7 linked regions of the Canis lupus familiaris genome follow. The protein of the gene in region 2 purifies or fractionates together with the protein of the main gene of each other region. This does not show direct contact. Links are inferred from orthologs where the notes say so. Each region holds a gene or a part of one and is shown on either strand. Other genes may lie near its edges.

Region 1 (3,750 bases), on a different chromosome or scaffold from region 2:
GTTGTTCACACAAATGATGGCTTTTTTTTTTTAATTTTATTTATTTATGATAGGCACACAGTGAGAGAGAGAGAGGCAGAGACATAGGCAGAAGGGAGAAGCAGGCTCCATGCACCGGGAGCCCAACGTGGGATTTGATCCCGGGTCTCCAGGATCGCTCCCTGGGCCAAAGGCAGGCGCTAAACCACTGTGCCACCCAGGGATCCCCATGATGGCATTTTTTACACAGAATTCTGCACCTTGCATTTTTCATTTAAAAGTATACCTAGGATGTGGTGCCAGGGTGGTTCAGTCAGTTAAATGTCCAACTCTTGGTTTCAACTCAGGTCATGATCTCAGGGTTGTGAGATCGAGCCCTGGGTTGGGCTCCATACTCAGCACAGAGTCTGCTTGAAAGTCTCTGCCTCTCTCTCTGCCCCTTCCCCCTGTTCATGTGCACGCACACCAACCCTCTCTCAAATTAATGAATTAAAGTATACTTGAGAGATTATATCACACCCATATTTAAAGAGTTTTTTTGGGGGATCCCTGGGTGACTCAGCGGTTCAGCACCTGCCTTTGGCCCAGGGCATGATCCTGGAAACCTGGGGTCAAGTCCTGCGTTGGAGGACTGCATGGAGCCTGCTTCTCCCTCTGCCTGTGTCTTTGCCTCTCTTTCTTTCTCTATGTCTATCATGAATAAATAAATAAATCTTTAAAAAAAAAGAGAGCTTCTCCTTTTTATGGCTACGTAGGGTTCCATTGTCTGGCTGTTTAATAATTTAATTGGTTCCTACAAACTGCTACAGTGAATAATCATGTACAGAAATAGTTTCACACATGTGTTTTATTTTTATTTATTTATTTTTATTTATTCATGAGAGACAGAGGCAGAGACATAGGCAGAGAGAGAAGCAGGCTTCTCATAGGGAGCCTGATACGGGACTCAATCCCCGGACTGGGATCACGTCCTGACCCAAAGGCAGACACTCAACTGCTGAGCCACCCAGGCATCCCACACATGTGTTTTTATATAATTGTTAACTATTGGGGATCCCTGGGTGGCTCAGCAGTTTGGCGCCTGCCTTCAGCCCAATGAGTGATCCTGGAGTCCCAGGATCGAGTCCCACGTCGGGCTCCCTGCATGGAGCCTGCTTCTCCCTCTGCCTATGTCTGCCTCTGTCTCTCTCTCTCTCATGAATAAATAAATAAAATCTTAAAAAAAATAAATTGTTAACTATCACTAATGAGGACAACAGTTTTTGAATGGCTGTTCTTAGATCCTGGGCCCCATCTTTTGCAGATATTCGGGAACTGATTGAGGTGGATGATGTCATGGAGGATGACTCTCTCCGCTTTGGTCCCAATGGAGGATTGGTATTTTGCATGGAGTACTTTGCCAATAATTTTGACTGGCTAGAGAACTGCCTTGGCCATGTAGAGGATGACTACATCCTTTTTGACTGTCCAGGTAAGTCAGTAATTTGAATATGACATTTTCTTAGAAGTTGTACTAGTTCTGTCCTCAGTGAGAGAAAGTGGATTGAGCCTTGTAGCTCTTAACTAGATTGCAGTGAGGCCCAAAGCTCTTATCTATTGGCTTTGAGTTTACTGAGTGCTTAGTTTGTGTGCTGAGAATACCATAGAGACCCCAGCAGCTGTGGTCTTTGCCCTCATGGAGCTCACAGTCTCATGGAGTCGGCAGCACAGTGAGTGTGCTAGACAGAATGAACAAAATCTCCTAGGTGATTATTTAATACTGATTTGTGATAGGTGCTCCACAGGAGTAGCACCAACCATCATCATATAGCAAGAAGATTAGGAGGCTTCTGACCAAGTATGTAAGCTGGGCTGGGGGGTGAAGGTGAGAGAGACCATACCATGGTCCAGGCAGAGGCACAACATGCCAGGAGCCTCAAGGCAGGAAGGAATGAGGTGGGTTTGGGACACCAAGAAGTCCAGGGTAGCCGAAGTACTGAAAACCCAGGGGAAGTTCATGAGGTGAGGCTGATAGGGGACAGATCACACACAACTCCTTAAGCCAAATTGTGAGTTTTAGACTTGAGTCTGACCTGTGATCATTTGTGGTTCTCACTTAATTTTCCTTGCTTTTATTTTACTTTATTTTTATATTTTTGTTTTGAGAGAGCACATGCACGCACACAAGAGAGAATCGTTAGCAGGTTCCGTTCCTAGTGTAGATCCCAACGCGGGGCTTAATTTTACAACCCTGAGATCATGACCTGGGCCTAAATCAAGAGTCGGACGCTTAACTGGCTGAGCCACCCAGGTACCACCCCCCCACTTTTTTTTTTTTTTAAAGAGAAAGTATTTTCCCTTGCTTTTAATTGAACCCACAGAAAAGCACATACATCCTAAGCATACAGCTTGATGAATATTCCCAAAAAACACACATCTTTGTAGCACTCAATTTTGACTCCCCTTTTTTAACCATCTTGTGGGAAATTTTTTTACATGTAGTTTGATGACTATATATTTCCTGTTTATATTAATCTTGTCATGTTCTTTTGTAGGTCAGATTGAGTTGTATACGCACCTGCCTGTGATGAAACAGCTGGTCCAACAGCTGGAACAGTGGGAGTTCCGAGTCTGTGGAGTTTTTCTTGTTGATTCTCAGTTCATGGTGGAGTCGTTCAAGGTTTGAAGATCCGTCTTGTCTATTTTTTAGTTGTGGGTACAAGCAGATGACAGTCTCCTTTAAGCACTCTGTGATTTCAATACTCTGGACATTTCACAAACTACATTCCAGAATAATTTAGTATTATCCTTTGTTATTCAGTTATTTTAATGACCTATTTTTTTTTTTAATGACCTATTTTTAACTCAAAAATGATAAGTTATGATATCGTATAGATTTGGGGGAGCTACTTAACAAAGAAAAATGAGGCAGATGCACATTTCATGTCTGTTTTTTTGTTTTTGTTTTGTTTTTAAGATTTTATTCATGAGAGACACGAGAGAGAGGAACAGAGAGAGAAACAGACTCCATGCAGGGAGACCGATGTGGGACTCGATCCCGGGACTCCAGGATCATGCTCTGGGTCAAAGGCAGATGCTCAACCGCTGAGCCACCCAGGTGTCCCTCGTGTCTGTTTTTAATTCTTCGAGAGCCTCTTGTCTAATTTATGAACTATATTTTCCATTAATTGCTCTTAAGAATATTCAATCAGAAAAGAGGTTAAGATACCATCTAGGGCGCCTAGGTGGCTCAGTGGTTGAGCATCTGCCTTCAGCTCAGGTTGTGATCTCGGGTTCCTGGGATCAAGTCCCACATTGGGCTCCCCAAAGGGAAGCTTACTTCTTCCTCTGCCTATGTCTCTGCTTCTATCTGTGTCTCTCATGAATAAATAAAATATTTTAAAAAAAAAAAAATACCATCTGGGGATCCCTGGGTGGCATAGCGGTTTAGCGCCTGCCTTTGGCCCAGGGCGCGATCCTGGAGACCCGGGATCGAGTCCCATGTCAGGCTCCCGGTGCATGGAGCCTGCTTCTCCCTCTGCCTCTGTCTTTGCCTCTCTCTCATCTCTCTCTGTGTGACTATCATAAATTAAAAAAATTTTAAAAAAATTACCATCTAAACTGAGATTTGTGATCACTGTAATTTTTTGAGTGAGGGGAAGGGCAGGGGGAAAGGGAGAAAAAGAATCTTAAGCAGGCTTCATGCCCAGCATGGAGCCCGGTGTGGGGCTTCATCTCAAAACCCTGAGATCACGACCTGAACTGAAATCAAGAGTTGGCCACTTAACCGAC
Region 2 (3,750 bases):
CTTGGTGGGTGTGGGTCTGCCACCTACCCCCAGCCCTCCTTTGGGAGGCCTCAGCCTTGGTGGGGTCTGGGTTTGTGGGCAAGGGTGGAGCAGGCAGAGCCCAGGAGCGGCTGACCCTGCCCTCTCCCCCACTGCAGTGAGTACCTCATGATGCTGATGCCACCCAGCCCAGAAGAGGAGAAGTGAGTAGAGTTGGGCCAGATGCCACCCTCCCCACCCCAAATCTTTCCTCTTACCCTCTCCTCTAACCCACTGTCTCTGTTTTCACCAGAGACAAACCCGTGGCCCCCAGCAACGTCCTGTCCATGGCCCAGCTGCGCACCTTGCCCCTGGCTGATCAGATCAAGATCTTGATGAAGAATGGTGGGTGGACACCCACTTCCTCCAGGGGGAACCCAGCCCTACCACCTCCTGGGGAAATGGACTCTAGGACAGACTAAGGACTCAGCATGGGCCTGGCTTGACGGCTCTGGCCTTGCCTAGAAGGAATGCACCACAGTGGCCTGTTGGGCTCCCTCAGCAGGCTCTGATTCCTGTTCTCGTTCTGGCTGGGCCACTGCCCTGCTGTGAGCCTGGGCAGGCCACTGATGTTCCCGAGACTAGGGAACTAGGATAGCTCCTGAGGGCGGAGATGAGGCTTCTTCATGGCTTCTACAGAGCCTTGCACGTGAACATGAGCTCCATTCGTTCCCTTGCACTGTTTTGTGGTACCTGCACCAGGCTGCACCCAGTAGGGACTGGTGTCTTTCAGAGGACTTGGGGGCCAGAACCTGTAGGGTAGGGTGAGTCCTGAACCTCAGAGCTTAATCCCAGGCCCTGGGCTCCTTTCCTGAGATACCACTTCTAGGATCTCCAGGTGCCTGAGCAGAGGCGAGCTCCCAGCTCTGCCTGGGGCTGCTGGGGTGCCAGGCCACTGCCCTCGCTGCCAACAGGCCTTCCCCGGGCCCTTTTTGGGCCCCAGGAGTCATGGTCTTACCTTTTTTTTTTTCTGAGTACACTCCACACCAAACATGGGACTTGAACTCATGACCCTGAGATCAAGAGTCACGACTTTACCAGCTGAGCCAGGCACCCCGTAGTAGTCTTACCTTTAAGGAGCACCCCTTGGGGTGTTTCCTCCAGAATTCAGTAAGGTGGGGTGCCCACACAAGCAGCCAGTGAAGTCAGCTCTTATTATTACCCATGTGTCAGTGTTATTCACACGCTGGAGTGGTTACATGAGCCTGAAGCTGTATAGACTTGGTGAGGGAGAAGGAAGGGCCCCTTCGCTTGTCTGACATCTGTGTCCTCCTCAGTGAAGGTCATGCCTTTTGCCAACTTGATGAGCCTCCTAGGCCCCTCCATCGACTCTGTGGCTGTTCTGCGTGGCATCCAGAAGGTGGCGATGCTGGTCCAGGGAAACTGGGTGGTGAAGAGGTGAGTTCCTCTGCATGGGACCATCTGATGCATTTCAGTTCGTGATTACTGATGTTTTGGGTTTAAGTCTACCATAGCACTGGTTGTCCTGCATTTTATATCCATTCTTACCTGCTACTTGATCCTTTTTTGTTACTCCATTTCTCCCTGCTAATTTAGAAGTTACCCTTTCTGGGTTCTTTTAGTGAGTAGCCTACAGATTCAGAGTGCATTCATAACTGATCATAGTTATATTAATGGCTGTATTTTATTCTTATCCAGTACAATTCAGAGACCTTAGAATGCTTTCTGTTTATCTTCCTCTCAACTCATGTGCCATTGTATTTCTATTTTTTTATTTCTATATTTTTAATTGTAGTTTAAAATCCACAAGATGTTATTTTATCCAGTCAGTGTTCTTCAGATTTCACATATTTTCTTTTTGATTTTGCTTATCATCCCTTTCTGCATCTGAGTTTCTATCTGGGATAATTACCTCCTGCCAAAAATTGCCGGGGTGTTCCCTTAAAGAAGATCTGCAGGGGGGAGGAGTTACTTGGGTATTGTTTGGTTGCAAATATCTATTCCACCTTTATTGATTGTTTGTTTTAAGATTTTATTTATTTATTCATGAGAGACCGAGAGAGAGGCAGAGACACAGGCAGAGGGAGAAGCAGGCTCCATGCAGGGAGCCCAATATGGGACTCGATCCCAGGTCTCCAGGATCACGCCCTGGTGCTAAACCGCTGAGCCACTGTGGCTGCCCTTCACCTTTATTGTTAAAAGATATTTTTCTTGAGTGTAGGATTCGAGGTTGATGGTTTCCCTTCCACACACTGACATAGTTTCATTGTGTTCTCATTCCCATTGTTTCTAGTGATGAGTCCCTTGGTCCCCTCTGGCTCTTTCTGAGATTTTCTCTTATTGTGGCTTTCCACAGTTCATTAAGATGCATCTGAGTGTGAGTTTTGTTTCATGTGTCCCGTGGGGTTTGGAGCATGTGGCTTGATGCCTTTCAGTAGTTTCTCTTCTGTGACCCTTCCACCAGACCATTATTTTCAAGAGGGATGGGGGTAGTAGGGACTTCTATTTTGACCCCTACCTTGTGTCCCTGACACTCAGTATAATGCTTAGCATATCTCAGACCCTTGGTAGTAAGTGTAGGTGCATTTCATGTATGTCTGAATTATGTTTTTATTTTTATTTTTTAAAAAATATTTGTGTATTCATGACAGACAGAGAGAGAGAGAGGCAGAGACACAGGTAGAGGGAGAAGCAGGCTCTATGCAGGGAACCCAACGTGAGACTTAATCCCGGGTCTCCAGGATCACACCCCAGGCCGAAGGCGGCGCTAAACCGCTGAGTCACTGGGGGTGCCCTGAATTATATTTATTTTAAATAGTGTGACATTAGGTACACTAGTAAGGGCTCACTTTTTAGAAGGTGTGGTGTAAGGTGAACAATCTCTTTAAAAATTTGTTCCAAATTTTTTAACTCCTTGCAGAAGCTCCTGTCATTTCAGCTGGTTGGCCAAGTGAATTGTAGAGTCTGTTCACGTTACTGCCACCTGGTGGCGCCCTTGCACTGGTAAACTTGTCCAGTGTCTGTCAGTAGTTGGAGCTGTTGTGCCACACACGTGTTTGATTATGGAAGGTCTTTGGATGTTGGATGGCACATCCCTCATTAAGTGGGACCACCCAGGTATATTTACGTTACGAATGGGTGAGAGCCAGGAGGGGCCGTCCCCTCACTCAAGGACACTGACCCAGAGAGGCAGACACTTGCCAAACATCTGGCAGCAAGGTGGTCCCGGAGCTGGGGTTTGAGCTCTTGGCCCAGCAGTGCCTGTGGCCCTGGTGCTTCTGCCCTTTCAGCCTGGGGTCCATCCCTGTAACCTGGACATGGGGCCTCTGGGGCTGTGTGTTTTCTGGCTCCCCGGTTCTTCGGCTCCTGCTGCAAGCCCTCACTGCCATGCTGTGGCCTGTGGGTGGCGCCCCTTTCTTGCCGTGTCCCTTCTGTTTCTGTGTGGAGGTGATGCAAAATTTACACATTGTTCACGAACTATGTCGTGATTGCTTGTTCTGTGTCCTGTGCTCCACTGTCATTCCTACACTGTCCCTGCCCTTGGGAATTGTGTGGGGCAGAGATGGGCACCATTACAGATGAGCCCAGGGCACGCACCACGTTTATCCATTTGTTCAGTACCTACCTAGCAGCTCCCTTCTCTGTGTGGCAGTGATGAGCAACATAAGCCATGTCCCTGTCCCCAAAGAGTGTTTCTGGGATGGGAGTGGACACAGAGCTCGACCTTAAAGGAAGGGTATTAGTTGGTTGCCAGGTAGGATTGAGGAGGGC
Region 3 (3,699 bases), on a different chromosome or scaffold from region 2:
GATCATTTGTAAGTTTTTCACACGTAGATTGTCTTTGAAAGAATAATCTACAACTTAAATTGAGCTCCCAATATAACTTTGGCAACAACAAAAGGTAAAATTTCAGCATGGGTTGGCATACGCCCTGTTTACCTTTTTAAATCTAAAGCAAGCTTGAGGGAACCCTGGGTGGCGCAGCGGTTTGGCGCCTGCCTTTGGCCCAGGGCGCGATCCTGGAGACCCGGGATCGAGTCCCACGTCGGGCTCCCGGTGCATGGAGCCTGCTTCTCCCTCTGCCTGTGTCTCTGCCTCTCTCTCTCACTGCGTGCCTATCATAAATAAATAAAAATTAAACAAAACAAAACAAAATCAGCTAGCCAGGGCAGCCCTGGTGGCTCAGCGGTTTAGCGCCAACTTCAGCCCAGGGCCTGATCCTGGAGACCTGGGATGGAGTCCTACGTCAGGCTCCCTGCTAGGAGCCTGCTTCTCCCTCTGCCTGTGTCTCTGCCTCTCTCTCTCTCTCTCTCTCTGTCTCTCATGAATAAATAAATAAAATCTTTAAAAAAAAAAATCAACTAGCCAGGGAGCTCAATTTTTTCTTTTCTTTTTTTTTTTTTTGTTTTTTTTTTTTCTCTTTTCCTTTTTAATAGTTTGTGTCAGCACTACCTGGCTAGGGCTGCCTGTGCTGTTTCAGAATCCCCTGATTGTCCCTGCACCCTGGAATCCTTTTGAAGGATTCCCAAGCACGGCAGATACATAAGCCACAGGGAAGCTCTTCAGGGGACTCATAGCTCCCAGCTCACCCCCGTCTGAGGAGGAATGGAACATGTTCATACATGAAGGACAGCTCAGACAGTGTCTGATTCCATGTGATTCCTGATCTATTCCAAATTTTAAAAAAATCCATTTGATTCTTTCCATGTTTGTTTCTCAGTAACTGGAGCCCCAACAACTACTGGGGGACCCAGGCTTCCTCCACGCTCTCTTCTGTATAGTTTCTCCACTTTCAGACAACAGAACTGAAACATCTCTGAAAATACTCCAAAGACATTCTTCCCTGATGTGAGGACAATAACAGTAACGGTATCATGATGGTGGTAGTATGATGATATGTTGATTTATTATTCCATCACATAATATGACTTCTTACTACCACTTAATAACAGTAGCAGCCACTAGTATTGTCCTCCCATGGCTCTTTGGGAGCCTTACATCCTATGTTGTACAGATGCGGCTGAGGGGCAGGCTGAGCAGCTCCTCAGGTTACCGTCCCGTGAATGATTTGAACCAAGGTGAGCCTGCTCTGGAGCCTCGTGTGCTTGGCCAGGACGGGATGCTGCCCTTTGTTGGTTCAGCAGAATAATGACACATCTGTCTGATTTGTCTCCAAGGCAGCCCACTGAAGGTCGGTCTCGTGATGGCGGTTTGCGTCTTGGAGAAATGGAACGTGACTGTTTAATCGGCTACGGAGCCAGCATGCTCCTACTAGAGAGATTGATGATTTCAAGTGATGCCTTTGAAGTTGATGTCTGTGGGCAGTGTGGACTTCTGGGGTATTCTGGCTGGTAAGTGGGTGCCATATGCCTCTTGTACCGCACACCTTGCCTCTTAAATCATAGCTCAGGAATCGACCCCAGATCCCACCCACATATTACCCATACTGCCCCATCCACGCACTCCTAGAACTGGGGATTTTATATGTATCTGTTTAGTTTGTCTGCCTAATGCTCTGCTTTCTACACACTAGAGTTTAAATACCCAAGGAGTATGGACTTGCTCTTCTTCTTTTTTTTAAGATTTTATTTTGCAAGTGAGTTAGAGAGAGAACTAGTACAAGCAGTAGCGGGGAAGGGCAGAGGGAGAAGCAGACTCCCTGCTGAGCAGGACTTGGGACCCGATCCTAGGACCCACAGATCGTGACCTGAGCCAAAGGCAGACGCTCAACCAACTGAGCCAATTACGCACCTGATTTTGTCTTTTTAATATTTTTTCAAACACCTTTTATCACTGTTTACCTGTAAAAAAATTGCTAGCAGATCCATTGTCAGATATGAGAAGTACAGCATGTTGTAACTAGAACTTTTTAGAGAACATTTTGTTGAATGCACTTATTTAACTTCAAACCCAGAGAGCCCGGTATGTTGTGCAGGTTACGTAGCACATTGGTGACCAGGACCAGGACCTGACACCCTGGCCCCTTGTCTGTGCTCCAGCTGAACAGCAAGCTGTTTTACACCATGAATTCCATGATAGCAGAGCCTAGGTCTGTCTCAGGCACTCACTCAACACACAGAGTTTGCTGAGTGCCAGGCACTCTTCCAGGCCCAGAGTGCAGTGGTGAATAAGACACATGAATGACTGCTCACAGGGAATTTACCTTCTAGTTCATTCCAACTACATTGGAAGCCCTCCTGCAGGGGCTCCCTGCTCAGTGGGAGCCTGCTTCTCTCTCCCTCTCCTTCCCCCTCCCCCTCCTTGTGCTCTCTTGCTCTTTTTCTCTCTCAAAAAAATCTTTAAATTTATTTTTTTTAAAAAGATGAAGCTACATGTTTGTTGGTTTTGTTTGTGTAGACAGAGCATCTTTACACCTCTTAAGTGGAGAAAAGGTGTTCCTTGCACTGAGGAACAGCTACCGTGCCTTGGGTTAGTCACCTCTTGTGACCCTGACTGAGCCTGTTGGCAGGAGGACCTGTAGCTTACCATCTCCACTTACTTTCCTACCAGAGATGAGGTCTAATGAGGTCTGAAGTGGGTCCGCAGGGACAGGAAGCTGCCTTGACTCCCTAGTCAGCCTTCTCCTGACCTCCCAGAGCCTCTTCTCCCCAGGGATGCATCATCCCCTGGAGGAGAAAATTAGGCCCAGTTGTGCAATCCTTGCCAGAGTTCGAGGGCTTGAAGGTTACCTGGGCCACCTTCCCCTGCTGAGTCTCCCCTCAGTGAAGCCTCCTTCTCAGCCCTACCACCCTAGGCCTCCAGTTTCTTGGTTGAATAAAGCAAATCAAGAGCCAGAGTGAGCAAGCATCTTCAAATATAGTATATGCCTTGCTTGGTAAATGACAGACCTTTTAGCCAATTATTCAGTGGGTTTTTGCGTAGAAGAGTTGATGAGACTTGTCCATGAAGAAATCATTTCATTTAAAAACGAACACAAGAGGTGGCCATTTGCAGCTCATTCCTTTCATTAGGTTGCAGAGACAAGTGATATGATTCTAAGCATGAGACTGGCTCTTGTATCAGTGACTGGGGTGGGGATTTCAATCCGGAGATTCTATTCGCCTTTTGAAATGCATATTGAATTTGTGTTTTATTGTCCTGGCTGTGTAACAACGGCCACACAGTGTAATAGGAAGGTGCCCGGGACCAATGCCACTGTGCTTGCATCTCCAGATTTGGCACAAGGATTTTTAAGTCATTTGCTTTGAAAAGATGGTACAGAAGAACCATTTTATTAAAAATAGGGATCAAGAAACTTCAGAATGGATTTCCTTTCCTTCTCCATCCTCCCTGCATTTTCTCCTGTGCCCCCCACCCAAAGAAGAGAGAGAAAGAGAAAGCAATAGACCAGATTCTCTCACGTACTTTGACAACCTTGCCCTCTCTATCACTGAATCTTCAGGGAAACTAATGAAGGCAGTAATTGATCTCAATATTATTCTGTTAAATTCTTACCTTCTTTCCTGCTTCATTTCTGTCTCATTTAGAGATCATGTGATGGCAGTG
Region 4 (4,221 bases), on a different chromosome or scaffold from region 2:
TATCGGGCCAGCAGCTCTGTCACCTCTTCCTTGGTCATGACGACGTGCTCTGGGACCAGCTGTCGAGAGGGGAAACTGAGTCTGTGGGTGTGACAGGCCCCACGGCGCCCCCACACGGGAAAGGGGAGCAGAGCGCCACAGGCTGTTTCCTTGGAGTCAACCATCCACCCAAGGGTCCCAGCTGCCACCCCACCCTGCTCCTGACTCCACGCCTGGGGGGAAGGAGCTATGGCCTGCAGGCGCCTGGGGGGGTATAACCTGGAGAGTGCAGGGGCCCCTGGACAGACCCCACCCCCTGCCCCCCAGCTGCCTGACTGCACACCTGGCAAGTGCCCAGGGCCTCACTGAGACTCCGGCTCTGCTTCCTCCTCCCCACAAAGTGGGAGCAGCGGCACCTGGTGCGTCCCCAGGCCCTCCCTGTGCTCGGGCAGGTGCCACCTCACCAGCCGTCCAGCCTCCCCTCCCGCAGACCCCCACTAAGGCCCTCACCTCGTGCTCCGTGATGTTGATGAGTAGCTCCTGCTGCAGAAACTGCTCCAGGATGTACTTGGGGGCCATGTCAACCAGGGACTGAAAGAGAGGCTGACCCTCACGCACAGCCAAGGCCCAAGACGCCGCCACCCCACCTCTCCCAGGGGCTGAGGGCAGGTGGGAGCCAAAGGGGGTTCCCACGTGTCAGGTCAGTAAGGCTCCTCTGGGAGGAAGAGACCACCCGACACAAACTGTGACACCTAACAAAATGCTCCTGCAGTTGTCCCTGTGCTGGTGTGACGTAGAGAACCCTGCAGGGACGAGCGCACAGAGCTGGCCCTCCGTCCCAAACAGCAGCCCCTCCTCGGACCTGTTAACCACAGGAATGCTGGCACCCATGCAGGGCACCTCCCTGCTCTGGCTTCTGCCCACACGGGAGAGCCGCTCCTTCTCAGATCCCCAGATCCTGGGGCCCATGAGGACGTGCGGCCAACACGAGCAGCGTGCCCACCTGCTTGGCGGAGGGAGTCATGCCCTGCTGTACCACAATGAGGGCCCGGGTGATGTTCTCCTCCTGCATCCGCTGGCAATACACCTTGATGGTCTTGATTCCCACTTTAGGCTCCTCTGGGGACAGAACACACGAGGTCTACACTGCAAGAGTCCCTCCTGCCCCAAGGGCCCTGCTCACTCACCTGCTCGTTCACTTCCACCCTGCTAGGCGCGCGGGCTCCAGCTTGACCTTGCCAAGGTGTAGCAGTGCCTCTCTGGACCAGCTCCCTCTTTCTAGGGCCCCAGGGAACCCACCAGGGTGCCAGTCCTCCCCCCCAGCCCCCACGGAGCTGATGGGTGCCCTGCATCTACCCACTTGGTGGATCCCTCCCTGGAAGCTGAATCTGGGGACCTACGTGGTGCAATGTCTGGAATCCCCAGATGAAGCAGCTGACCTGAAGGACCAAACCCCCTCCCTGCACAGCCACGGTGGGAACCCTCACGCTCACCACAGTACAGGGGCCAAGACCTGCGGGACCCTCTGAGCCTGGTGGAAGGTGAGCAACTGGGTGCCTGCTGCCAGGACGGGTGCGTGTGGTGCACCACATCTGCCCCATCACAGCACTCCCCTCGGACCCTTGCTCACCTGACGGGCAGCGTCAGGGACTGAGCTGTTTCCCACGGAATCCCCGTGTTACAATCCTAACCCCCGAGACCTCGGGTGCAACCGTACTTGGAACTGAGGTCTTTAAAGAGGAGATTCCACCAGGTTGTCAGGATGGACCTCAGTCAGACACAACAGCACAGACACACAGAGGCACGACCTCGGGAACTCATGGAGAAGACGGCCACCGGCACGCCAGGGAGAGGCCTCAGGGGGACCCAGCCCCGTGCACACCCTGGTCTCAGACGTCCTGCCTGCAGCCCCGGAAGAGGTCAGGCTGCTGCTGAAGCCGCCCGGTCTGCGGCGCCCAGTCGCGGCGGTCCAGGTGGACCAGCACGGCCGCTCAGTCCCATTCTGTGGCCCACTGGAGCACACGGGCGCCCCGGGCCCACTCCAGGGAGGGCCCTGCCACAGGCCGACCCACACACGGGGACGCTGTTTGCACGAGCACCAGGAGGGTCCCTCCTGCAAAGGTTTCCGACGCCCTTGCTTCTGGGCAGGGGGCTGGGCCCCCCGGGAGGCCTGCGACAATCCGGCTGCACTGAACGAACAGTCAGCGGGGAACAGAACCCAGGGCTCCCATCAGCACCCCGTGGCACCGTGCGCAGCAGGCTGGGCACTCGGGAGGGCGGGTGTAGACACCGTCCCTGGATGGCTGCACGAGGGCTGCGGACTCCTAGGGGTCACGCAGCCACCCAGGACCCACGCGACCCTCACCTGGAAAGAAGACAAACATCTGGTCGGTGGGGTCGTCGTTGTGGGCCACCAGCACCGTGAGGTCCGTGCGCCGGGGCCGCCCCTCGCTCGGCTTGTCCCCAAACTGGGCCTTGAACTCTTCCAGCGTCTGGTCCAGCTCATCCTGCGTCACCAGGTAGCCGCGGTCGTGGCACAGCTGCAGGGAGCACCAGCCGGGTGACCCCCGGGCTCAGAGGGCGGGGCGGGAGGGGCGCGGCCGGATGACGTCACCGCGGAGAAGGACGGACAGGGCCGCGGCCCGGCGCCTCCGAGCGCGTGGGGACCGCACAGGAAGGGGCCGCAGAGGCCGGGACGCACCCGCCGAGCGCGCCCGGAAGCTCCGAGCTGCGCCCGCCGCCGCCCTGACCGCGCGGGCTCACCTGCATGATGGTCTTGCGGATCTTCCACAGCCGGTACGTCTCCTCCTCGTCGTCCATGGCGGCCGCCGCTCGCAACCCGCGCGCCTGAGCCCGCGGCAGGGGCCCGCGCTGACTGCGCCTGCGCCGAGCCCTGCCAAGCCCCGCGCGGGGCTGCCCACAGCGAACGCCGGACTCCAGAGACCTTCGCGGGCGGCAGCGCCGAGGGCAGCCCGGGCCTTCTGCGAGCGGCGGTGGGCGGAGCCAGAGCCGAGCGAACGGGACCGCCCACTCTCGCCTCGGCAGTTGTCGCGGGGTTTCGGCCGCGGGGCCTGTCGGGAGTTGTGGTTTCCGCCCGATGCCCGTGTGGGTGGGGAGTTTGGAATCCGGAAGGGCGGAGGCGAGGTGTGGGCGGGGAAACTGAGGCCAGGGTGGGGTCAGCGGTCAGCTCGCCTCCCCGGGGCGCAGGGCATGTTGTCAGGCCCCCCACCAGGTACGCATCCCGCTGCTGGGCGTCGCCGCCGCCTTACTGCGCAGCAGCCTCGGGTCGCCCGGGTGGCTCCGTGGCTGAGCGTCCGCTCGGGGTGTGATCCCCGCATCGTGGGCTCGAGTCCCGCATCGGGTCCCGCAGGAGCCTGCCTCTCCCCCAGCGGTTCTCAGGAGTAAATAGTCTTAAAAAAAAAAAAAAAAAAAAGAAAGGCAGCCCGGGTGGCTCAGCGGTTTAGCACCGCCTGCAGCCCAGGGCGTGACCCTGGAGACCTGGAGTCCCACGTCGGGCTCCCTGCGTGGAGCCTGCTTCTCCCTCTGCCTGTGTCTCTGCCTCTCTCTCTCTCTCTTTCTCTCTCTGTCTCTCTGTCTCTGTCTCTCGAGAATTAAAAAAAAAAGCCTAAGCAACGGAGCCCCCCAGGCACCCCCTCCGCCAGCCCGTTTTTTCTTATCTGCCGTCTACACCCGTTTCTCCCTAGTCTGTCCGCCCTGGGCCGGCAGCTCCGCTCCTCCGTCCTGCCCCTTCTCCACATCCTGTCCATCCTGTCCGACTGCAAACCCTCCACCTTCAGAACTGCAGGCGCCGACGTGAGCCCCCATCTGTGGCCCTCTCCCTCCTCTCCCCCTCCCCCATCTCTCAGCTGAAATGCAGCAACAGCAAAGGAAAACCCCGGCTTTTCAAGGCAATCAACGAGGCCTCCCAGGTGTGCCCCAGGCTTGCCCCACGACAGCCTCTGACCTCCCCTCCCCCCTCCCCCGGGGCCTCCTGCAGCCAACGCAGCAGGCAAAGTGCAGCCCCAGGGCCTTTGCACACATTGCACCCTCTGGTGGATACGCCCTTCTTCTGACATTCCTACAGCTGCTCCCTCTCCTTTGACCTCTTCCTGCCAGCCCTCTCGCTCCCTGCCTTCCCTGAGTCCCTTGATTGTTTTGTTTTTTTTTAAGATTTTATTTATTTATTCTGAGAGACACAGAGAGAGAGAGAGGCAGAGACACAGGCAGAGGGAGAAGCAGGCT
Region 5 (4,485 bases), on a different chromosome or scaffold from region 2:
ACTTATTTATTTATTTATTCATGATAGACACACACACAGAGAGAGAGAGAGGCAGAGACACAGGCAGAGGGAGAAGCAGGCTCCATGCAGGGAGCCCGATGCGGGACTCGATCCCGGGATTCCAGGACCGGGCCCTGGGCCAAAGGCAGGCATCAAACCGCTGAGCCGCCCAGGGATCCCTGGACTTATTTATTATTAAGATATTTATTTATTGGGGCGCCTGAGTGACTCAGTGGTTGAGTGTTTGCCTTCAGCTCAGGTCGTGATCCCCAGGTCCTGGAATGGAGTCCTGCATTGGGCCCCCTGCATGGAGCCTGCTCCTCCCTCTGTCTGTGTCTCTGCCTCTCTGTGTATCTCTCATGAATAAATAAATAAAATCTTAAAAAAAAAGATATTTATTTGTTATTAGAGAGAGCACACGAGCAGGGGGGAGGGGTGGGGAGAAGGAGAGGGAGAAGCCGACTTCACACTGCTCATGTTGAGCAGGGAGCCCAACACAAAGCTCTTTCCCAGGACCCTGAGATCATAACCTGAGCTGAAGTCAGATGCTTAACTGACTGAGCCACCCAGGAGCCTCAATTTATTTAAGTAATTTCTACGCCCAAGGTGTGGCTCGAATCCACAACCTGGAGATCATCCCACACTCCATGGACTGAGCCAGCCAGGTGCTTCAAAGTATCAGACTTTATTATTAATTTAGTGGGAAGGTACTGGGGTTGTTTTTTGGTCCAATTCATGATCACTTTTCTTTTCTTTCTTTTTTTTAAGATTATGTATTTATATATTCATGAGAAACACAGAGAGAAATAGAGGCAGAGACACAGGCAGAAGGAGAAGCAGGCTCCGTACAGGCAGGGAGCCCCATGTGGGACTCGATCCCCAGAGCCCAGGATCACGCCCTCGGCCGGCCCAAGGCAGGCGCTAAACCGCCGAGCCACCACTGAGCCACCCAGGGATCCCCAATGATCATTTTTCAATTGAGATGTAATCTGCCTACTTAAGTGCAACGATCTTAACTGTCAAGTTTGATGCGTTGTTTTTTGTTTTTTGTTTAAGATTTTATTTTTAAGTAACCTCTATGCCCAATGTAGGGCTTGAACTCACAACCCTGTTAACAAGAGCTGCATGCCCTACTGACTGCCAGGCCCCCACCTGTGTAACCCACCCCCCTAGAAGAAGATAGGAAACATTCCTATCACCCCAGAAAGGTCCCGCCTGCTCCTTTCCAGATAAATCTCCCGCTTCCAGGGTCCTGAAGGGGTCTAAGCAAACTGTGCCGGCTTTTGAGAGGATCCCTCTGGCCGGGCGCAGCGCACCGCCCCGCCCGGGACGGAGAGGAAGAGCGACAGCCCCGCCGGGCAGGTGAGGTCGGGATCGCGCCCACGTTGCCTAGCAACCAGGAAGCGCGGTCGAAGGGCGGCCGGCTCCGCGGGGGCCCACGGGGAGGCCCCGCCCTACGTCGCGCCGCGTCGCGTTGGGGGGCGGGCAGAGGCTTCTTATTGGTCTGTTCTCCGGAAGCGACGGGATTCGGAATCTCGCCCGAAGTCGGCTGCGCGTGGGAGCGCGGTGCATGGCGGCGCGTGGCGCGTGGCGGGACCGGGTCGTGCGGCGGGTGCTCGCGCTCTCTCGCTGGAGCGAGGGCGTCTCCTGCTGAGCCTCAGTTTCCTCAGTTTGCAGAGGCTGCACACGCCCCGCACGGGGTACCCGGCGCCGCACCGCGCAGCCCCTCCGCCGGCCTGGGTGTGTGCGTGGGGGGCGCTCAGCGGCGGGGACGCGCCCGAGGGGGTTCGGGAACGCCCACCGCCCCACACGGCGCGTGACTGAGCCTCCCGCCCCCAGGGCCCCGGCGCAGGCGCGATGTTCGTCCTGGTGGAGATGGTGGACACCGTGCGGATCCCCCCGTGGCAGTTTGAGAGGAAGCTCAACGACTCCATTGCCGAGGAGCTGAACAAAAAGTTGGCCAACAAGGTACCGGGGGCCCACGGGGTCGCTGACAGGCCCTGGCACGGGAGGCCCAGCGCTGCCCTCCTGCCCGCTGCAGGCCTCCCCGGTCACGCCAAACCCTGGCCTTGGACAAGTAGCTTAACTTCTCCGAGCTCAGTTACTTCACCTGCACGTGGGATGTTGGAGTCAAAACAGAAACTGGGGAAATGCCAGATTGCACCCTGTTGGATTACCCGCTCTGGGCCTCAGCTTCCATTTGTAAAATGGAAATAATGATGGCTGTCACACACTGTGTCTGTGAAGATGGACAGTGGTTTAGAGTTAACCATCATTAAGGGGCCCCTGGGTGGCTCCGTCCCTGAAGGATCGGCCTTCAGCTCCTGATCGCAGGGTCTTGGGATTGAGCCCCACATTCAGCTCCCTGCTCAGTGAGGTGTCTGCTTCTCCCTCTCCTCCCTGCTCATGCTCTCTTGCGCTGTCTCTGTCTCGCAAATAAATAGAGTTAACCATCAGGAGATTTATTCTTTTCTTTTTTTTTAAGATTTTGTTTATTAATTCATGAGAGACACAGAGGTAGAGGGAGAAGCAGGCTCCATGCAAGGAGCGCACGCGTTCTCTCTCTCTGTTAAATATATCTTTTTTTTTAAGATTTTATTTATTGATTCATGATAGACACAGAAAGAGGCAGAGACACAGGCAGAGGGAGGAGAAGCAGGCTCTATGCAAGGAACCCGATGTGGGACTCGATCCCAGGAATCTGGGATCATGCCCTGAGCCAAAGGCAGACGCTCAACCACTGAGCCACTCAGGTGTCCCAATAAATATATATATTTTTTAAAATGAAGATTTTGGGATGCCTGACTAAACTGCTCAGCAATTTAGCGCCTGCCTTTGGCCCAGGGCGTGATCCTGGAGTCCTGGGATCCAGTCCCACATCGGGCTCCCTGCAGGGAGCTTGCTTCCCCCTCTGCCTGTGTCTCTGCCTCTTTCTCTCTCTCTCTCTTTCTGTGTCTCATGAATAAATAAATAAAATCTTTTTAAAAAATGAAGATTTTATTTATTTGAAAGAGAAAAAGAGAGAGAAAGCACAAGCACGGTGGGGGGCAGAGGGGGAGGGAGAAGCACTCTGCTGAGCAGGGAGCCTGACTTGGGACTCAATCCTAGGACCCTGGGATCATGACCTGAGCTCAAAGCAGATGCTTCACCAACAGAGCTACCCAGGTACCCTGGGGATTCATTTTTGAGAGTGGGAAAGGGCTGTGCAGAGAGAAGAGTTGGGCAGGCAAAGGAAACTGCATGTGTAAAGGCCCTGTGGCAGGAGGGAATATTTCATCCATCATAACCTGGAGGAGGACTGGTGTGGCCTGGAGAGGAAGAGAGGAGAGTAAGCTGGAAAGGTGGCAGGAGCCAAACCACATGGGGCCTGCAGGATGTCATGGCAGTATTGATTTCCATCTGTAGAATAGCAGGAGGTGATAGGCTGAGAAGGAGCAAGAGGAAGGTTGGCTGGCTTTAGACAGGAGGCCAGTCCCTTCTGTAGATAGAGGCTGAGATCATGGAAGGGAGTTGTTTGCAGCTGTTGGTGGAGAGAACTCATGAAGTCCTTAGTGATTGGCTTCCAGTTACGTTGTGAGGTAGAAGGTAGAGGGGGTCAGTGGAGGGATGAAGTGTGAGCATAGTGGTGACAGAAGGTGTGAAAAGTCCAAGAAGGTAAAAAAAGTAAAAAAAAAAAAAAAAAAAAAAAAAAACTGTTTAAAAAAAAGGGGATCCCTGGGTGGCTCAGCGGTTTAGCGCCTGCCTTTGGCCCAGGGTGCGATCCTGGAGTCCCGGGATCGAGTCCCACATCGGGCTCCTGGCATGGAGCCTGCTTCTCCCTCCTCCTGTGTTTCTGCCTCTCTCTCTCTGTGTCTATCATAAATAAATAAATTAAAAAAAAAAAAGCTGTTAAAAGTCCAAGAAGGGAATGTAGCCCTTTGGGGTATGGGTCCTTCAGGGACCTGTTCAGACGAGTCTTTTATATTAGAATCATTTGAGAGGAAGCTGCACAGAAGAGGTCTGTGGTCTGGCCAAGGGCACAGATCTTTTTTTTTTTTTTTTTTTTTAAGATTTTATTTATTTAATTATGAGAGACACACAAAGAGAGGCGGAGACACAGGCAGAGGGAGAAGCAGGCTCCATGCAGGTACCCAATGTGGGACACGATCCCATCCAGGCCTCCCAAGGGCACAGATCTTGTGCAAGGCAGCCAGGCTCTGTGGCTCATTGTGGTGAGGTCCGGCCCGGACTTGGAGTTCTCTGAGCTTCTTGCTAATCCTTGAACAGTCCTGCAGGGTGTGTATTGGGAGGTGATGACACTGGTGGCAGGTAAGCAGGCTGGTGATTTGGGGCACGGTGGGCATGGGGTATGAGATGCCCTGTGTCTAGTCTCAGAGCCTCGGGCACGTGTCCCTCTGCCACCCTCAGTCCCTGTGGCCACGGCTGTGTGCCTGATACTTTGTGAGCAGGTGGGGTTTAGCCCGGACTCTGACATTCACTGAGCCA
Region 6 (3,750 bases), on a different chromosome or scaffold from region 2:
TAGGGAGAAATTTCAGAATTTGTATTTAGAATCATTATCTAAAATTTGATACAATAATTAAAATGTAATTACCTGTGGGTCCATTAATGCCTTTCATCTTTGATCTAAGGGACATAAGTACAGTTTTAAATTTGGGACATAAAGTTTGAGAAACAATTGATCTCTTTTATGAATGTCAGGTACATGCAGAACAGTGTGAACATGCAGAGGTGAGAGATTCCCAGTCTTGCCTCAAGAAGCTTATAGTTTAGTAAAGAGGGTATGACGTCTACGCTATTGATGGTACAGGGCGGGAATGATAAAAGGTGACAAGGGGTGTGGATGAATATAGAAGGCATCTCGAGGGGCAGGTGGCTATGGAGGAAGAACATTTTGACCCCAGGCCAAGTATATATAGTATTTGAATCACTGAAGTTGGGAGGAAATGTCAAGCCTGGGGAATAGCCTGAAATGTGCCCAAGAACGTATGTTGAAGGAAACCGTGGCGGGAGTAGCCTTTCCAAAGTCAGGAGTGTTTAGATGGTTGGAGGCGGAGGTGAACTTTTGAGAGTTTTTGTGGGGATGAGATGTGACCAGAACTTGAGGAAGATCAGATTGGTGGTGTGTGGCGGGGAGAGGGGAGGCCAGAGGTCCTCCAGAAGCACCCCCGGATCCACACAGGAGGAGTTGAACCTCAGGTTACAGTCTTACTGCAGCTGTGATCGTTCCTACAACTACGCACAGATCACAGTGTGTTAACTTAACCAGTTCAGATTTATTTCCGTGCAAAGAGAACACCAGACGACATTTTGTAAAATGAAGGAGTTTTCAGGTTGTTTCTATTTGCGTCCAAATGTAGTTGCTGCCAGAGAAAGCAACCGTAGCACAGCTGTAGTTCTTCTACCCAAAGCTGCTGTGTTTGGACATAACCGACCCGGCCGCGTGCGGGTCGGGCAGAGAAGGAAGGGCGCTTGCACGTAGACTCCGGTGAACACCGGTCAGCCCTTCACTAGAGAACCTCAGCAAGGGAGGCTTTAAAAAAAACAAAAAACACAAAAACTCAAAAACCAGTATCAGATAGCCAGCCTAATAATCCTGACGTCCCGTCGGGGTTGGCAACTCGAGATTCGGCCTCTTGTGGGTTTTTTGGTCTGATTTGGTACCAGTTATATGTGTGTTTTACGACGTGATTTCAGCAGCCTTCAGACGAGCCTTCCTAAAGACCCGCAATGCGTCTTGATTTCCAGGCAATGCTTACAATCAAGAGGAGCGTGTTGTTTGTGCTGGCTATGACAATGGCGACATCAAACTGTTTGATCTGAGAAATATGTCCTTGCGGTGGGAGACCAACATAAAAAATGGGGTAACGTACACTTGGCTTCTGTGTGGGTGGTCTGAGCGTGCTTTTGTCCACCTCCGAACTACTTTAGAAGGAGAGCGCCCCTCATGGCTCATCTCGGGCAGCCCCCTGCCCATGGCTTTGAACCTTCAGGGCTGTTCAGCCCTCTGAGAATTTAATGATTCTCATCAGGGGTCCTCTCTTCAGAAAGTGAGCACACGTTGAGATGTGCTGTGACAGTCCCTGGTGGCCACCAGCCCCCGTGGCCTGTGTGTGGACCCCCGTGGGCGAGGCCGTGTGATAGTGAAGTGAGGTGGTAACGGGCCCCGTGCCTGCTAATACTGGAAAGCCTGAAACAGTAGTAGCCTCCCCAAGTACTTTCAGATTTGGGGGTCGTGAATTGTAGACCTTTAGTGAAGAATGTGGTTCCTTCCTGTTTTTTAAAATCAGCTTTGACTGGGCGGTAGAAAATAAAGTTACATGAAAACAGTAAAAGATCCCATGGGTTTCCAGATTGATCTCAAAAGATATAGTGATTATTTAAATGCTTTCACATGAACTGATAATTTTACTGTTTGACTTAGTTTAAAAGAACCTCCTGAATAACAGTCATTGGACCATCAATAATACGTATTTTCTATTTCAGGTGTGCAGCTTGGAGTTTGACAGAAAAGACATAAGTATGAATAAATTGGTAGCTACGTCACTGGAAGGAAAATTTCATGTTTTTGATATGAGGACACAGCATCCAACTAAAGGTTTTGCTTCTGTTTCAGAAAAGGTAAGTTAGGAGAGAAATGTCTTTCTATGAAGAGGAATGTTCATAGCTTGTTTTAGACTAATAAATAGAATTAGTCACCGAGGTTCCTTCCAGGTCTTTATGTGAAGGGAGCTATTTTTAATGCATTCCTGTAGGAACTTGACAAGTTTTTCTGTGCAGAGAGTATTTTCCCAAAGTTTATCAATTTTAGATTTCTTGATTACAATAAAGGCTTCTCAGTTGGCTAAGAATCTTATATTGTAGTTTAAGAACAATTGCAAGACAACTAGCTGATGCTAAGAACTGCATCAACAAAATGTAGCCTTATGCTTTCTAATAAATATATAATATTTGTGTTAATATCTAATTATATACTTCTCAAAACATATCAACATGTATATGTTATTTCCTTTCATTTTATATCCCGGTTTGCTATATTTTTTTTTTTTTTAATTTTTATTTATTTATGATAGTTACAGAGAGAGAGAGAGGCAGAGACACAGGCAGAGGGAGAAGCAGGCTCCATGCACCGGGAGCCCGATGTGGGATTCGATCCTGGGTCTCCGGGATCGCGCCCTGGGCCAAAGGCAGGCGCCAAACCGCTGCGCCACCCAGGGATGCCCCCCGGTTTGCTATATTAAGTGAAATCATTCAAAGCATTAATCATGGGCACATAGTAGATTCAGAAAAATTATTTATTCAGTCACTCACTTACACATATACGTACCATACGTTGCTCCAGACGTATTTGAGTAGCTTGGAAGGAAACATCCACGGCACCTGGTGGCTCAGTCGGTTAAGCATCAGCCTTCGGCTCAGGTGATCCCGGGGTCCTGGGATGGAGCCCTGCATGGGGGCTCCTGCTCAGCGGGGAGCCTGCTTCTCCCTCTCCCCCTGCCCCTCCCCCTGTTCTCTCTCTCTGTCAAATAAGTGAATAAAGAAAATCTTAAAAAAGAGGGAAACGTACAGTATTACGACATCAAAAATAGATCAAGAAAGCAAATCACAGGGAAAATACTGGTTAAAGAAAAAAACAAGATGATGAAGTCTGGAGTAAGGGGATTGCATAAAATTCAAGCTGAAACGCCCTGTCATTTGCCGGAGGGTTGGGAATGTGACTCCGACCTTCCTTGAATGTGGAAGTAAAGATCCGTTACAGGTTTGTGGTTTCCATAAGATTAAAACTTGTAAGTTGCTCAGGAACTAAACATTTACTCTCTCGCTCCCTCTCCCTCCATCACGGATTCAGTAGCACTTCTCAAACCTTCCTGTCTTGTCTTATTTTGTTATTACTGCTAATTATTATTATTACTGCATATAAATTGCTGTCACTGCCTGATGAACTAAATTCTTAACAACGTAGCTGTAAGTTGCAGTATCTTTTGCCTCGTTATTTCAGAATATAGTAAGTGCCTGTCAGCAGCTTAAAGCATTTTATTAAATAGGCTCTTATGCAATTGTGACACGTTTCTCAGCCAGTGGTTTGTTTGTTTGTTTTTAAGATTTTATTTATTTGAGAGCATGAGTGAGCGAGCACAAGCAGGGAGAGTGGCAGAGGGAGAGGGACAAACAGACCCCCCTGAGCAGGAAGCCTGACTCAGGGCTGGATCCCAGGACCTGGGATCACGACCTGAGCCAAAGGCAGACGCTTAACCACTGAGCCACCCAGGTG
Region 7 (4,463 bases), on a different chromosome or scaffold from region 2:
CACCTGGGCTGGCTCCACATCGAAATAGGGTCTCAGGATGTCGATGTTGGCATACAAGCTGAAGGCCCTGGAGGCTTGTCTCTTCCCTGCCTGCCACATCTGCAGTAAGGAAGACGGAGTGAAGTGGGTAGGTACTGCGAGAGGTTCTTGGCCATAGTCCCTGTCGCTCACTTTCTATTGGCCTTCTACACAGTTCTAATGGGTTAGGCGACATGGGGGTGAACTTTAACATCAACTCCAGCACTTGGGGGCCTTCCTAAGTATACTTTTCCACCTGCTAGGGATCCAATCCTGCTTACCTGATCTGCCACTTGCCGGCTCAGCTGTCCCTTAAAGCCCTTCATGCCCAGGAACTCCCCATCCTCTTCTTCAGCAGCAGCTGCATCAGCATCTACTTCTTCTTCACGCAGGCGCTGATGCAGTTCACCCATATCCTCAAAGCTGGAGCCTGAGGTATCATCCATGTTCTCCATGTCAATCACAGCTGAGCCCCCACCCTGTGAAGACAATGGCTTCTAGAGTGCAGGCCCTTTCTGTTCCATCCGCGGGTCCTCCTCCGTTCCTCCCAGGATTTGGGACTTTGTTCTTCCACTGCTGGGGATATGGCTTGGAATCACCATAGATCATACCACTCTCTTCCCCTCATCTGCTCTCAGAATCCTTGGTTGTCTGGCTCTCTTTTCTAGCCTGGGAAACCTACCCCCTGTCTTGCATATATGTCTTTCTTCTACCTTCCCTATCAAATCCTCAGAGGGCTGCAAAAGTGCCCGTTTTGTCTTTTCCAATCCCCAAACAAGGCTGTGCACACAGCATGGTTTTAGCCAGCGCCGGTGAATACCGCCCACTCCCTCGCCATGCCTGGCCCCGATCGACCAACAAACTTGTCTCGAAAGCAAGAGCAGGCAGGCCCAGAGGCACGAGGCCCTCTGGCTGGAGCACCAGTCTGGACCTTTGAGGTCAGCACCAGTCCCACTACCTTCCGTGTACACCAAGAGCCAAAGGAGAGGACAAGTGTTGCAAATGGAGCAGACTTCCAAGCTCCCAGGGAGAGTCCCCGCGACGCTTCAGGACGGCTGCCGGCCCTGCGGCTGCCGGCAGCCGGAGCCCTGGGGCGATTACCTGGATGTTTTCTTCGAACCCTCCCCATTCCGGGCCGGCCCCGCTTCGGGCGCCGCCAGCCGGCGCCGCCGTAGTTGCCATGTCCCTCGAGGGCTCCCGTCGCTGAAGCCCGCGCTAGTCCCGCGCGCGGAGGAGGAGTGGGAGAGACGTGGGCCTGAAGGAGGGAGATGTCTAGGGGCGAAAAAGAGCGGTGGGTTCAGCCGGAACGCAAAAAGGAGAAACCCGGATGTTTGGCCCAAACCGACTTCCGGAAGCTGGGGACGTGGACGGAGGCTGCACAGAATCTCGCGATATTTAACATCCCGGGAGGCGGTGCGTTGCCATGGAGACGAAGGAGGGCGACTGGGACGCGCGCGCCAGTTTGCTGCCCTAGTCACGTGGAGGGGTAGAAGATGGCGGCCGCCCAGGCGGTGCAAGAGATGCGGACCCGCGTGGTTCTAGGGGAGTTCGGGGTTCGCAATGTAAGCCCGTGGCCTTGAACTCGGCAAGAGAAATGAGAGTGGAACAGGAGGGATGAGTTGGGATCGGAGTTGGGGCGGGTTTGCCCTACCTGCCCCTTCGCAGACTCGTCTCTCTTTGGTCTAGGTTCATACCACCGACTTTCCCGGTAACTATTCCGGCTATGATGATGCCTGGGACCAAGACCGCTTCGAGAAGGTAGGTGGGGCTGGAGAGGGTATTGGGAACGGATCGTGTGATCTGAGCGGCCTGTGCTTTGGAAACTGCCCGTGGGATTCGCTGCGTTCATAAAACGTTTATTGAGCAATATGCTAGGCCCTCCGTGTACATGGTCTGTGCCCTGTTCGTCGAACAAGATGTTTAATCTTGTTGAAGAGCACGCATAAATGACTCCAGTATGATGTAAAGGTGGTTGGTAGCGATAAGAAAGGACAGTCGTGACTAGGGTGACCCCTGAGGGGCACTTAATCTGGAACGGAAAGCGGGGCAGCGGTATGGAAGATTTCCTTCCTGCAGGAGATGACATCTGAATTGAGCCCTGAACGATGAGTAAAATCTGAGAAAGGGTAAGGGTGAAGGTGGGGGGACGAAGACTAGAAGCTACATTATAAAGGCTTTGTGAACTGTGTTCCAAGAACGTCCAGTTTATTATTGCTAGAATGTAAAGTCGGGCAGCATGAGTGCTAGGCAAGATTGAAGTGCATCTTAGACACTGTAGGTGATAGGGGAAGTTTTGAAGAGCTCTGAGCCAGATGTGATCTGATTTGCATCCTTAACTGTTGGGAAAGATCATAGAGGGTAGTCAGATTTGTGACAGAATTGCATAGAGGAGCTGAGGTTGAAGGTATGAACTAAAATGATAATCAGGAAAGTAGAGCAAAAAGGAGACATGATAAATTTGGTGACTGTTTTGATGTGGGCTGTGAGGAGGGAGTATAAAATAACCTACCTTGAGGAACTGCTTTAATGGATGGTGGTGCCATTTACTGATGAAAAATAGGTCTGGGGAAGGGGAATGATGCTGCATTGTTTCCTGAATGTGAGGTCTAGCAGGCCAGTAAAATGTGTGTTTGAAAGGAGATGAGAAGTGAGAATTTGGGAGTTTTCTGTATATATAGTTGTTAAACCCATGAGCGTGATTGAGGTCACTTTGGAGAGAGATAAAAATCCAGAAAATAGTGACTTTATGGAGTGGGTAGGAGATAGTGAATTTAGAAGGATTCATTGGAGGAGAAAGAACCAGAAGATTGGTGCTCAGAAACCAAGGCAGAGTTGGAAAATGGAGGGATTCTATCAATGCCCGATGGAGGAGTCTAGTAAGAAAGGACAGAGTAGAATGGTCTCTGTGGGTGGTCTGGTTGGAGGATTTAAATGAATAGAGGATAAAAATGGGAACTTTTCAAGAAGTTCATGAAGAATTGGGGGAGAAGGGAACAGCTATGAGGTACATCTGGCCAAAGGGAGGTTCTTGGGTGAGTGGGAACATTGTTGCTGGGGCTGGGGGATATCCAGAGGGACGGTATTGATTCCACAGAGGCCAAGGCTTCATTTAGTGCATTTTCTGTCCCTGTAGAATTTCCGTGTGGATGTAGTGCACATGGATGAAAACTCATTGGAGTTCGACATGGTGGGAATTGATGCAGCCATTGCCAATGCTTTTCGACGCATTTTATTAGCTGAGGTATTTATTGGTGGGCATGGTGGCAGGGACGGAGTTGGGTGGAAACTGAGCCATCACCTTACTTGGAGAATTCTTAGGTTGCTCCTTTCATTTTCCTGAGCATTCCTCCTGAACTTTTCATCAGGTGTTTTTCTGGGAATAGGGCCCCCTGTGTCAGGAAGTAGGAGTAAATAGGGAGTCTGTAGGGTCTCTGTAGATGAATGATTTTATTTTTTGGGCAGGTGCCAACCATGGCTGTGGAAAAGGTCCTGGTGTACAACAACACATCCATTGTCCAGGATGAGATCCTTGCTCATCGCTTGGGGCTTATTCCCATTCATGCTGATCCTCGTCTTTTTGAGTATCGGAACCAAGGTCAGCGCTTGAGAAAACGAAATTGTGGCAAAATGGGAACAGCTGTCTCCTAAAGTAGATTCTAGAGGATCTACTGCCTACGTTCAAATCCTGGCTTGATTACTGTGACCATGAGCAAATCACTAATGTTTTGGTACATCAGTTCTGATCTGTGTGAACACTTGCCCTGGTCTTCTGAAATTGGAAATTTGTCCGAGGAGTAAATGAGAAGTGTAGATTAATGCACTCAAATACTCAGTCGTTCTTTAAGAGCTGCCACTTTCATCCTTTGTTCAGGGGATGATGAAGGCACAGAGATAGATACTCTGCAGTTTCGGCTTCAAGTCAGGTGCACACGGAACCCCCATGCTGCTAAAGATTCCTCTGACCCCAATGAACTCTATGTGAACCACAAAGGTGAGTGGTGGTATGGTGAGTAGGAAGGCCCACCTCTTGATGGGTACTAGTTTTAAGGATTGATGTTTTCCTGATGTGCTTTCTCCAGTGTACTCCAGGCACATGACATGGGTGCCCCTGGGGAATCAGGCTGACCTCTTCCCAGAGGGCACGATCAGACCCGTGCATGATGATATCCTCATTGCTCAGCTGAGGCCTGGCCAGGAGATTGACCTACTCATGCACTGTGTCAAGGGCATTGGTAAGAAACCTGTGGGTTGCCCAGGGCGGGAGGGTAGTTTGAGGACAGCGGGGGGGCAGGGTGTGACTAAGGGGCTGAGGTGAGATGTCCTAACAGGCAGAAAGCCAGTGGGCCTCTGCCATTAGGGGCTTTTTGAACGTCAAGAAGGGTTTCCCCACAGTCTCTGATATCTACCCTCCAGGAAAAGATCATGCCAAGTTTTCACCTGTGGCA

Evidence for each region.
Region 1: the proteins of POLR3E (region 2) and GPN3 purify together in Homo sapiens (affinity purification with mass spectrometry; 3 studies listed by BioGRID and IntAct, counting the BioPlex papers as one, with this or other methods). This does not show direct contact. The link is inferred for Canis lupus familiaris from reciprocal best matches to the Homo sapiens genes POLR3E and GPN3.
Region 3: the proteins of POLR3E (region 2) and POLR3B purify together in Homo sapiens (affinity purification with mass spectrometry; 8 studies listed by BioGRID and IntAct, counting the BioPlex papers as one, with this or other methods). This does not show direct contact. The link is inferred for Canis lupus familiaris from reciprocal best matches to the Homo sapiens genes POLR3E and POLR3B.
Region 4: the proteins of POLR3E (region 2) and POLR2E purify together in Homo sapiens (affinity purification with mass spectrometry; 5 studies listed by BioGRID and IntAct, counting the BioPlex papers as one, with this or other methods). This does not show direct contact. The link is inferred for Canis lupus familiaris from reciprocal best matches to the Homo sapiens genes POLR3E and POLR2E.
Region 5: the proteins of POLR3E (region 2) and POLR3H purify together in Homo sapiens (affinity purification with mass spectrometry; 9 studies listed by BioGRID and IntAct, counting the BioPlex papers as one, with this or other methods). This does not show direct contact. The link is inferred for Canis lupus familiaris from reciprocal best matches to the Homo sapiens genes POLR3E and POLR3H.
Region 6: the proteins of POLR3E (region 2) and WDR92 purify together in Homo sapiens (affinity purification with mass spectrometry; 3 studies listed by BioGRID and IntAct, with this or other methods). This does not show direct contact. The link is inferred for Canis lupus familiaris from reciprocal best matches to the Homo sapiens genes POLR3E and DNAAF10.
Region 7: the proteins of POLR3E (region 2) and POLR1C purify together in Homo sapiens (affinity purification with mass spectrometry; 5 studies listed by BioGRID and IntAct, counting the BioPlex papers as one, with this or other methods). This does not show direct contact. The link is inferred for Canis lupus familiaris from reciprocal best matches to the Homo sapiens genes POLR3E and POLR1C.

Annotation. Positions count from the first base shown.
Region 1 is NC_049247.1:8,512,792-8,516,541, reverse strand, and holds part of GPN3 (GPN-loop GTPase 3), read left to right. Parts: intron 1-1,282; coding exon 1,283-1,450; intron 1,451-2,513; coding exon 2,514-2,638; intron 2,639-3,750. UniProt on the Homo sapiens protein: Small GTPase required for proper localization of RNA polymerase II (RNAPII). May act at an RNAP assembly step prior to nuclear import.
Region 2 is NC_049227.1:23,570,091-23,573,840, reverse strand, and holds part of POLR3E (DNA-directed RNA polymerase III subunit RPC5), read left to right. Parts: intron 1-137; coding exon 138-182; intron 183-271; coding exon 272-363; intron 364-1,295; coding exon 1,296-1,416; intron 1,417-3,750. UniProt on the Homo sapiens protein: DNA-dependent RNA polymerase catalyzes the transcription of DNA into RNA using the four ribonucleoside triphosphates as substrates.
Region 3 is NC_049231.1:33,258,313-33,262,011, reverse strand, and holds part of POLR3B (DNA-directed RNA polymerase III subunit RPC2), read left to right. Parts: intron 1-1,370; coding exon 1,371-1,544; intron 1,545-3,699. UniProt on the Homo sapiens protein: Catalytic core component of RNA polymerase III (Pol III), a DNA-dependent RNA polymerase which synthesizes small non-coding RNAs using the four ribonucleoside triphosphates as substrates.
Region 4 is NC_049241.1:58,128,485-58,132,705, reverse strand, and holds the start of POLR2E (DNA-directed RNA polymerases I, II, and III subunit RPABC1), read right to left. Parts: upstream 2,877-4,221; 5' UTR 2,800-2,876; coding exon 2,743-2,799; intron 2,520-2,742; coding exon 2,345-2,519; intron 1,099-2,344; coding exon 983-1,098; intron 571-982; coding exon 490-570; intron 60-489; coding exon 1-59. UniProt on the Homo sapiens protein: DNA-dependent RNA polymerase catalyzes the transcription of DNA into RNA using the four ribonucleoside triphosphates as substrates.
Region 5 is NC_049231.1:24,684,140-24,688,624, forward strand, and holds the start of POLR3H (DNA-directed RNA polymerase III subunit RPC8), read left to right. Parts: upstream 1-1,524; 5' UTR 1,525-1,740; intron 1,741-1,839; 5' UTR 1,840-1,857; coding exon 1,858-1,968; intron 1,969-4,485.
Region 6 is NC_049231.1:68,510,974-68,514,723, reverse strand, and holds part of WDR92 (WD repeat-containing protein 92), read left to right. Parts: intron 1-1,226; coding exon 1,227-1,342; intron 1,343-1,964; coding exon 1,965-2,099; intron 2,100-3,750. UniProt on the Homo sapiens protein: Key assembly factor specifically required for the stability of axonemal dynein heavy chains in cytoplasm.
Region 7 is NC_049233.1:12,166,328-12,170,790, forward strand, and holds the start of POLR1C (DNA-directed RNA polymerases I and III subunit RPAC1), read left to right. Parts: upstream 1-1,420; 5' UTR 1,421-1,511; coding exon 1,512-1,580; intron 1,581-1,704; coding exon 1,705-1,776; intron 1,777-3,151; coding exon 3,152-3,259; intron 3,260-3,480; coding exon 3,481-3,613; intron 3,614-3,889; coding exon 3,890-4,009; intron 4,010-4,097; coding exon 4,098-4,250; intron 4,251-4,431; coding exon 4,432-4,463. Other genes in the region: protein YIPF3, read right to left, coding at 1-99, 300-497, 1,120-1,200. UniProt on the Homo sapiens protein: DNA-dependent RNA polymerase catalyzes the transcription of DNA into RNA using the four ribonucleoside triphosphates as substrates.